2 linked regions of the Sus scrofa genome follow. The protein of the gene in region 2 binds, or shares a complex with, the protein of the main gene of each other region. Links are inferred from orthologs where the notes say so. Each region holds a gene or a part of one and is shown on either strand. Other genes may lie near its edges. The genes, in order: NPPA and NPR1.

The links.
Region 1: the proteins of NPR1 (region 2) and NPPA are in contact, whole or in part, in a crystal structure (PDB 7BRG), measured with the Rattus norvegicus proteins. The link is inferred for Sus scrofa from reciprocal best matches to the Homo sapiens genes NPR1 and NPPA. Residues at the interface, in NP_036745.1 of Rattus norvegicus: Asp90, Val115, Tyr116, Ala119, Pro120, Arg123, Ala139, Leu140, Gly141, Ile142, Val144, Tyr148, Tyr182, Asp184, Leu186, Gly187, Asp188, Asp189, Arg190, Phe193, Phe194, Val196, Glu197, Tyr200, Met201, Arg204, His213, Gln214, Glu215, Phe216; in NP_036744.1 of Rattus norvegicus: Arg126, Ser127, Ser128, Cys129, Phe130, Gly131, Gly132, Arg133, Ile134, Asp135, Arg136, Ile137, Gly138, Ala139, Gln140, Ser141, Gly142, Leu143, Gly144, Cys145, Asn146, Ser147, Phe148, Arg149, Tyr150.

What each region holds. Positions count from the first base shown.
Region 1 is NC_010448.4:71,919,007-71,922,889, forward strand, and holds NPPA (natriuretic peptides A), read right to left. Parts: upstream 2,340-3,883; 5' UTR 2,201-2,339; coding exon 2,081-2,200; intron 1,983-2,080; coding exon 1,656-1,982; intron 852-1,655; coding exon 840-851; 3' UTR 551-839; downstream 1-550.
Region 2 is NC_010446.5:95,957,102-95,960,908, forward strand, and holds the end of NPR1 (atrial natriuretic peptide receptor 1), read right to left. Parts: coding exon 3,780-3,807; intron 1,343-3,779; coding exon 1,251-1,342; intron 1,098-1,250; coding exon 1,035-1,097; 3' UTR 119-1,034; downstream 1-118. UniProt on the Homo sapiens protein: Receptor for the atrial natriuretic peptide NPPA/ANP and the brain natriuretic peptide NPPB/BNP which are potent vasoactive hormones playing a key role in cardiovascular homeostasis.

The sequences.
Region 1 (3,883 bases), on a different chromosome or scaffold from region 2:
AGTACCCTAAATGTGAGCACATCTGAGTAAAGATAAATACCCTTTGGGTCTCCTGGGGATTTTTCAAGATCCATGGTGAGGTGGCAGTGAGCATGAAGGCAGGTTAAGAGCTGTGTTTTGAGTCCCCAAGCCCTAAACACACACACACGCAAACACCCATACACAGAGGAATGAAGGGAGCCCAAAATTGTGCAAACCCATTGAATATACACCACTAAGAATGACCTCTCTGTGAACTGTGGACATTGGGTGGCTCTGCTGTGTCAGTGCAGGTACGTCGATGGGAACATATGTCCCACTCTGGGGGGGGATGTTGATAATTGAGGAGCCCGTGCATCGGGGGTGGCCAGGGTTACATGAGAAATCTCTACTTTCTGTTCAGCTTTGCTGTGAGCATAAAATAAAACTGCACCCCAAAATAATTTTATTATTTTTTACAAAGGAGGGGGAAAGGAATTGAGCATTCTTTACTCTGAGGAAAGGTAAAATGACAAGGAATAGCAGACTAAACTCCTTTCGGGAGTTGAAAGAAATCAGACCAACCACAGCCTTCAGCGTCTGTCCGTGGTGCTGAAGTTTATTGGTTTTGAAACCAATGTCAGTTAACAGGTGACTAAAATTTAATGCAGGAGTGGGAGAGGTGGAGAAGCCGCAATGAAATCACTTTACATTTAGCCTAAAATGTGAGACATGTTGACAGGAGGCTGCCCCTTGAATCGGGTGCTCTTCACACCTCAACTTGACAGCAACGAGACAGGACAAAGATGAGAGAGAGACCCCAGGGGATGAGGGTCTCTCCAAGTCTGGCCGGGGCCTGGCTCGCCTTTTCCTCCCTGGCGTTATCTTCGGTACTACAAAGAGAACAGAAACGTGTTTGGCTTGGGGACCTGGCTCTCCTGGAAAAGTCAGCTTCACAGGACAATTCTTACTTCCTACGGTCCCCTCTCCAGCCCAACGACTGCCTGAGTTGCATGAACTGGCAAACGAATTGACATGAGGAGCTAGTAAAGTCGATCCTGGTAAATTTCCATTTTGGGGGGAATCTGACACTTTGGGGAGGAGCATAAAATGCCAATCAGCCGGAAGAAGGTGAATTTTTTAAGTTCCCAGGGCTCATGGCAAGGAACTTCTTTTTTGCCTATCATTTTCTCAGCAGGCTCTAGCTGAGGATGACGTCATTGTTCCGAGAGTCACAGAGCTCCCACCCAGCTAGCGCAGAAATTTCAAAGAGAATGTGGTTTTTTTGTTTGTTTGTTTGTTTGTTTATTTATTTTATTTTTTTTTTTTTAGTGCTGCACCAGAGGCATATGGCGGTTCCCAGGCTAGGGGTCGAATCGGAGCTATTGCCACCGGCCTGTGCCACAGCCACAGCAAGGCCAGATCTGAGGCTTGTCTATGACCTACACCACAACTCACGGCAACGCCGGATCCTTAACCCACTGAGGAAGGCCAGGGATCGAACCCACAACCTCATGGTTCCTAGTCGGATTCGTTTCCTCTGCGCCACGACGGGAACTCCCCAAAGAGAATGAGCCTTAATGCTGATCCCTCTCCTGCTGAGGGCATCCCTAGTGGTACTCTTTCACAAGGCCTGAATATCAATGAAACCCCATGTCCTTCCTCCCCGTCCCATTTCCACCCCTGGTTTCTCTTACCCGGAAGCTGTTACAGCCCAGTCCACTCTGTGCTCCAATCCTGTCCATCCTACCCCCGAAGCAGCTGGACCTCCGCAGGCTCCGAGGGGCAGCAAGCAGTGCCCTCAGCTTGCTCTTCAGAAGGGCAGATCTATCGGAAGCGTCCCAGGGGCCCCGCCCCAGGGCACCCCCATCTCTCTGGGCTGGGTTCACCTCCCCGGTCCAGGGAGGTACCTCCAAAAGGGGGCTGAGAGGGGCCCCCACTTCCTCATTCTGCTCGCTTAGTACTTGTGGGGGCATAGCCTCATCTTCTAAAGGCATCTTGTCCTCCAAGTGGTCCAGCAAATTCTTGATAAAAGGAAGAGCGGGAAAGGGAGAGATCTCACTGACGGGCACCAGGTCCCAAAGCCCCCTCACCCCAGACTGTGCCCCTTTCCTGGCCCTACCTTGAAATCCATCAGGTCTGCATTGGACACGGAGCCGTACACAGGGTTCGCTCTGGTTTGCCCTGGGAACTGAAACACCAGAACGAGGAGGAAGCTCACGGTGATGGTGGAGGAGCCCATGCTGGCGTCGGTCAGGGAGTGGTCTGCCACTTGCTCCTCTTCCCTCTCCTTTCTGGTTTCCCCCTCCTGGCTTTCGTCCGTCTCTGTCTTCCAGCTGCCCTGAGCCACCTCTTTTATAGCCCCCAGGCTCTCCGAGAGCGCAAGAGGGATGGAACCCTCCCCATTCTGTCACTTGCAGTGATAAAGCCGCTGAGTGAGGAGCCAGCAGAAGATGCCCTTTTAAAGTTATCAGTCCAGCCAGCTTGTCACAGCCCCTCCACCTTGAGCAGCCCCAACAACCCCCGGGACCCTCAGCTGCAAGAGCCACATTCTTGTTGATTTGCCTCAAGAGGTTCCCACTTCAAAGGTGTGAGAAGAGCGAAAAAGAGTCCTTGGTTATCTCCCAGCGATGCCTCGGGCTTCTTTCTCCTGGGCAACGGGACCCAGGCAGGGAAGCACAGGGTGACGGCTGGCTGGCACCCAGCTCCCCTGCTGGTTTGCGGCTCAGCTGTCAGGGGCTCCAAATAAGGGCGGGAGAGGAGGAAATGGCAGGCAGCCAGCGGCTAGGGACAAATTAGTCCAGATGCTCCAGCTGACCTCACACCTGACTCCTGGGTGGGGAGGGCAGGCCTTTCCCTCCACAGGGCTGCCCTTGCTCCCTGGCTGTCACTCTCAGCCATCAGGTGAAGACAGAGGACTTTTTTAGAGTCCTAAGTCAGCCGGAACTAAATGTGACAAATGTCCCAAGAACCCTGCTCCCAAATACAAACACCCAGAAGAGTTTGGGGAACGTGGTCATCGCTCTGCAAATCTTACCCCCGCACAGCTCCCTCCGAGGAGCTGCAGGAAATGGGCCCTGAGAGGATGCTGGCATTTGCCTTTTTTTTTTTTTTTTTTTTTTTTTTTTGGCTTTTAAGGGTCACACCTGCATCATATGGAAGTTCCCAGGCTAGGGGCTGAATCAGAACTGCAGCCGCCGACCCATAGCCACAGCAACACCAGATCTGAGCTGCATATGACCTACACCACAACTCACGGCAACAACAGGTCCTTCACCCACTGAGCAAGGCCAAGGATCAAACCCGCATCCTCATGGATAATAGCTGGGTTCGTTGCCACTGAGCCACTGTGGGAACTCTCCGGCATGTTCATCTGGAGAAGCTCAGCCTCTGGGTTTGAAGCATGGAGGGCCTCACACCTTCCAGGCAAGCTCCCAGGCAAAGTTGGCTGATGGAGTGAGGGTGGGAGACAACCAGGGTCCATGCAGTTTCCCTTAACGCCGCCCACATCCTTCTCTGAGGCTAAGAAAGCGATAAGCCCCTGAGGCCTCCATTTCCGCCCCCCCCCCAACAAGAGAAACACCAGGGGTGAGCTTGTCCACGTTTAAGGAGGGGCCTCCATTCACTGCACTCAATGCTGCACACTCTTTGATGCAACGTATCCTGGGGGCAAGCCTGCACTTGAAGGGAGGAGAGCCCAGCAGTGCAGCCCCAAACGCGGCTCCAAAGAGCTATGAATAGGTGAGCAAATTCTAAAGTGTGAATTACTATCTAATTGCATGGCGCTCACCACGGTTGTCTTTATTGGTTGGGTGGAATGTGCCAGACACTGGGCTGAGAGCTATATGTGGATTCTCTCCTTTTCATCACCAGCTCCGGGATATGGTCCCCATTCACAGAGGGACAGAACTGAGACGGAGAGGGT
Region 2 (3,807 bases):
CCGGCAGCTGTAGCTCCAATTCGACCCCAAGCCTGAAAACTTCCATATGCTGCAGGTGCAGCCCTAAAAGGCAAAAAAAAAAAAAAAAAAAAAAAAAAGAATGTCCTTGATAAAGCAGTAAATTAACACGTGATGGGTTTATTATAGTTCTTTTAAATGAGTTGATAAAGCCTTGTTTTAATTTCTAATACAGAATATATCAATAGATACGACTCACATAAACAAAAACTCTGGGAGGCCCTCAGTAGTTCTTAGAGGTGTAAACAAGACTAAAACCAATAGTGCCGGCACTGCTAGGGTAATTCAAAGCCTATGACACTGGCTTCTCAAAGTTGAAGGTAAACTGCAGCCTTGTTTCAGATCCCACATTGCAATCCCAGCTTGAGAAACAGGTTCTATTTGAAGCAGGGGGCGAAGAATACGGCTCTGTTTTCTGGCCACCCTCTCTCCCTCGAGAAAAGACACTGTCACTAGAATAAAGATTTTAATGGTCTCCACTCACAGGAGAAGCAAGGCATACAGGCCCACAGCCCTCCGGCCCTTCCTCTGCTGCCCTGGGCACTGCACCCAACGTCGGGTGGTGGGGAACAGGGGCTGTTGGTGGTCCTGGATTCACCTACAGTCCCTTTTCCCATGCCCCCCTCAGGGGGCTCTTCCCCTGTCCCCACAAAAGTCACAGTGTAGCAAGGTTGAGGGAGGAGGAGGGCACAGGGACGGCCAGGAGGATCCAGGAATCCACATCCCATCTGGCCTGGCCTGAGTCAGGGTGGAGAGCGAGTGATTGTGCCTATGTGTGGGGGTCCCTGGGCATGACTGTGAGTTCTGGTCCAGTCCTGTGAGCCCCAAGTTCTCCTCCACACCAGCCCTCTTTCAGAGGTAATATCTGGTGTCTCCAATGGGGTGGGCTCACCTGAGCTGTTCAAACCACTTCTTTGGCAATGGTGAGGATGCTGTGGGCGAGGCTGAAGCCTGGCGCCTCTCTGTCACCTCTGGCACAGGGAAGGGAGGTGTGGAAGGCCAGGAGGGGAGCCAGGTCAGCCTCGGGTGCTACTCCCCCGCTCCCCCAGGAGCCAGTAGGTCCGAACTTTGCCTTTGCCCTGGAGGGAAAAAGAGGAGGTTGGGGCTGGGGAGTGACACGCCCACTCTCCCAAATGATGGGAGCGGGTCTGGCTGCTTGAGAAAGGGCCTGGGGGAGAGTCAGCCCCTCTGGGGCCCCACAGGGTGGCAAAGGCAGGTGCTTCCTTCTCTACCTTCATTTCCACATCCCCTCGAAGCTCCAGCTCGAAACCACCAAACTCCTCCAGGACAGCCCTAGTCTCAGAAGACAAGTGGATCTTCAGGGCTGGGGAGGAGAAGGGAGAAGGGAGGTGAGAGATGCAAGAGATGGGAGCAGGAGATCAGGGACTCTGAGGCTAGAAAGATGCCCTCTCTCCTTCCTTTGGCCTAGAAAGCCTCCTAATTCTGAGTCCCATCCCCTCCATGTGGTGTGTGACCACACTGGCCTCTCCTTAAGAATTCTAGAGCTCTGTTGTCCACCATGACAGCCACCAGTCACATGTGGTTATTTAAGTTTAGTGAAAATTAAATAGGGAGTTCCCGCTGTGGCACCATGGGTTAAAGACAAGGCATTGCCATAGCCATGGCTCAGATTCCATCCCTGCCCTGGGAACCTCCCTATGCCGTGGTATGGGTGAAAAAGGAAAAACCAACAACGACAGCAACAACTAAATAAGAAGTTCTCTTGTGGCACAGTGGGTTGAGGAGCTGGCATTGTCAGTGCAGTGGCTTGGGTCGCTGCTGTGGGGTGGATCTGATCCCCCACCAGGGAACTTCCACATGCCGAGGGCATGACCAAAAAAAAGAAAAAAAAAAAAAAAAAGAGTTTATCATGGTGCAGGGGAAACAGATCTGACTAGAAACCATGAGGTTGAGGGTTCAATCCCTGGCCTCGCTCAGTGGGTTGAGTATCTGGTGTTGTCGTGAGCTGTGGGTGTAGGTCACAGACGTGGCTCTGATCCTGTGTTGCTGTGGCTCTGGCGTAGGCCTGCTGCTGTAGTTTCGACTAGACCCCTAGCCTGGGAACCTTCATATGCTGAGGATGCGGCCCTAAAAAGTAAAAAACAAAACAAAAAAACACTCGAACAACCCCAAAACTAAATACAGTTAAAAAAGCAATGCGTCAGAGGCTATCACATTGGCCTGGCACAGCTTAGGGAGCATTTCCATGACTGCAGAAGCTTCTGTTGGACGGCGCTCCAGAGCATGACCAGGCTCTGGACAGACGGTAGATTCCAGCAGTCAGGAGCTCAGACACTAGAACCTGCCCTGCCTGTATGAATCCCAGCTTGGACACTTGCTTGGGGAAGTAATACAAACTCTCTGTGCCTTTTTCCTAGTCTACAAAATGCCGATAACAGCAGGACCCACCTCGAAGACTTGGGAGGATTAAACTTCACATTATTGACAAAGTACCAAAAAAGAATCTGGTACATGGGAGGCACTCACTCTAAGTGTTTGCTACCATCATTATTTTACTCCACACCCTCATTTTAGGGCTGAGGGAGGCCAGGCCTCGGGGAGGAGATCTGCCCAAGAGGCGCTGAGGTCAGCCCCAGGCTGCCTGACTCCCGACTGCCTTTTCCGGTGGCCCCTTCTTTGCCCAGCCTCTGAACTTGCCCCCCCAACTCCTGGGGTCTGCGTCACGGCGGCCTTGTTCCTCGTTAAACCATGTCTAAGCACGCGCTCCTTGAGCTCTGGACCTCAGTGAGAAGATTTCTCCCACCCCAACAGCCCCAAACACTGTGCCCTGAAATATCTGCTGAACCAGACCCCCTCTGGGCTCCCAAGGAGCCCCTCGCCCACCATGAGGCCTAGATGGGGTGGGCGTGGGTTCCCCAGCAAACTGTGATCTGGGTTATCATAGTGTGTTAGGGCTTGGTGTGCAGTAGTTGCTCAATAAATGTTGACTGAATTGAACTGTGTTGAATACAGCAGGCGGTCAAAGAGCCATAGGAAGCAAGCCCAAGGGAAGAGGTGGGAGCAAGCATTTATTAGGCACCTACTGTGTCCCAGGGGTTATGCTATGTTTTTTACAACCTGAGACAGGCTTCATTTTATAGATAAACAGCTGAAGCCCAGAAAAGTTGAATGACAATGTGTTAGTCATGTGAGGCAACTCTCTCACATAAATCTTCTGAGGTAGATATTTTTGTTTGTGTGTTTTAATTTTTTTTTCCTTTTTCTTTTATGGCCGCACCCTCGGCATATGGAGGTTCCCAGGCTAGGGGTTGAATCGGAGCTGTAGCCACTGACCTAAATCACAGACACCGCAACTCAGGATCCGAGCCACGTCTGCGACTTACACTGCAGCTCACGGCAACACCAGATCCTTAACCCACTGAGTGAGCCTGGGACCTGAGTCCTTCTGGATACTAGAAGGATTTGTTTCTGCTGCGCCACATCAGGAACTCCCTTCAGAGGTAGATATTTAATTCCCATTTTCCAGATGAGGAAAACTGAGAAGCTCTCTTTACCACACCTAAGAGGACCCTAAAAGTAGGATTCCTGCTAAGAACTGCTGGACACTGGCCTGAGAAGAGTGGTCTATCATTTGGCAAGAGTGGGCAGCTGGGACCTGAGTCTCTGGTTGGATTGAGGGTGATCTGGCCAGGCTGAACCCTTCTAAGAAGGGAGCCTGGAAGGGGGAGAATAGGGATTGAATGGGCGTGAGCTGCCAGGAGGACCTGCCCTCCCCACCCTGCCTAGAGGGCCCAGCATACCTTCCCCGTTAGACTCCATTCTTGAAGC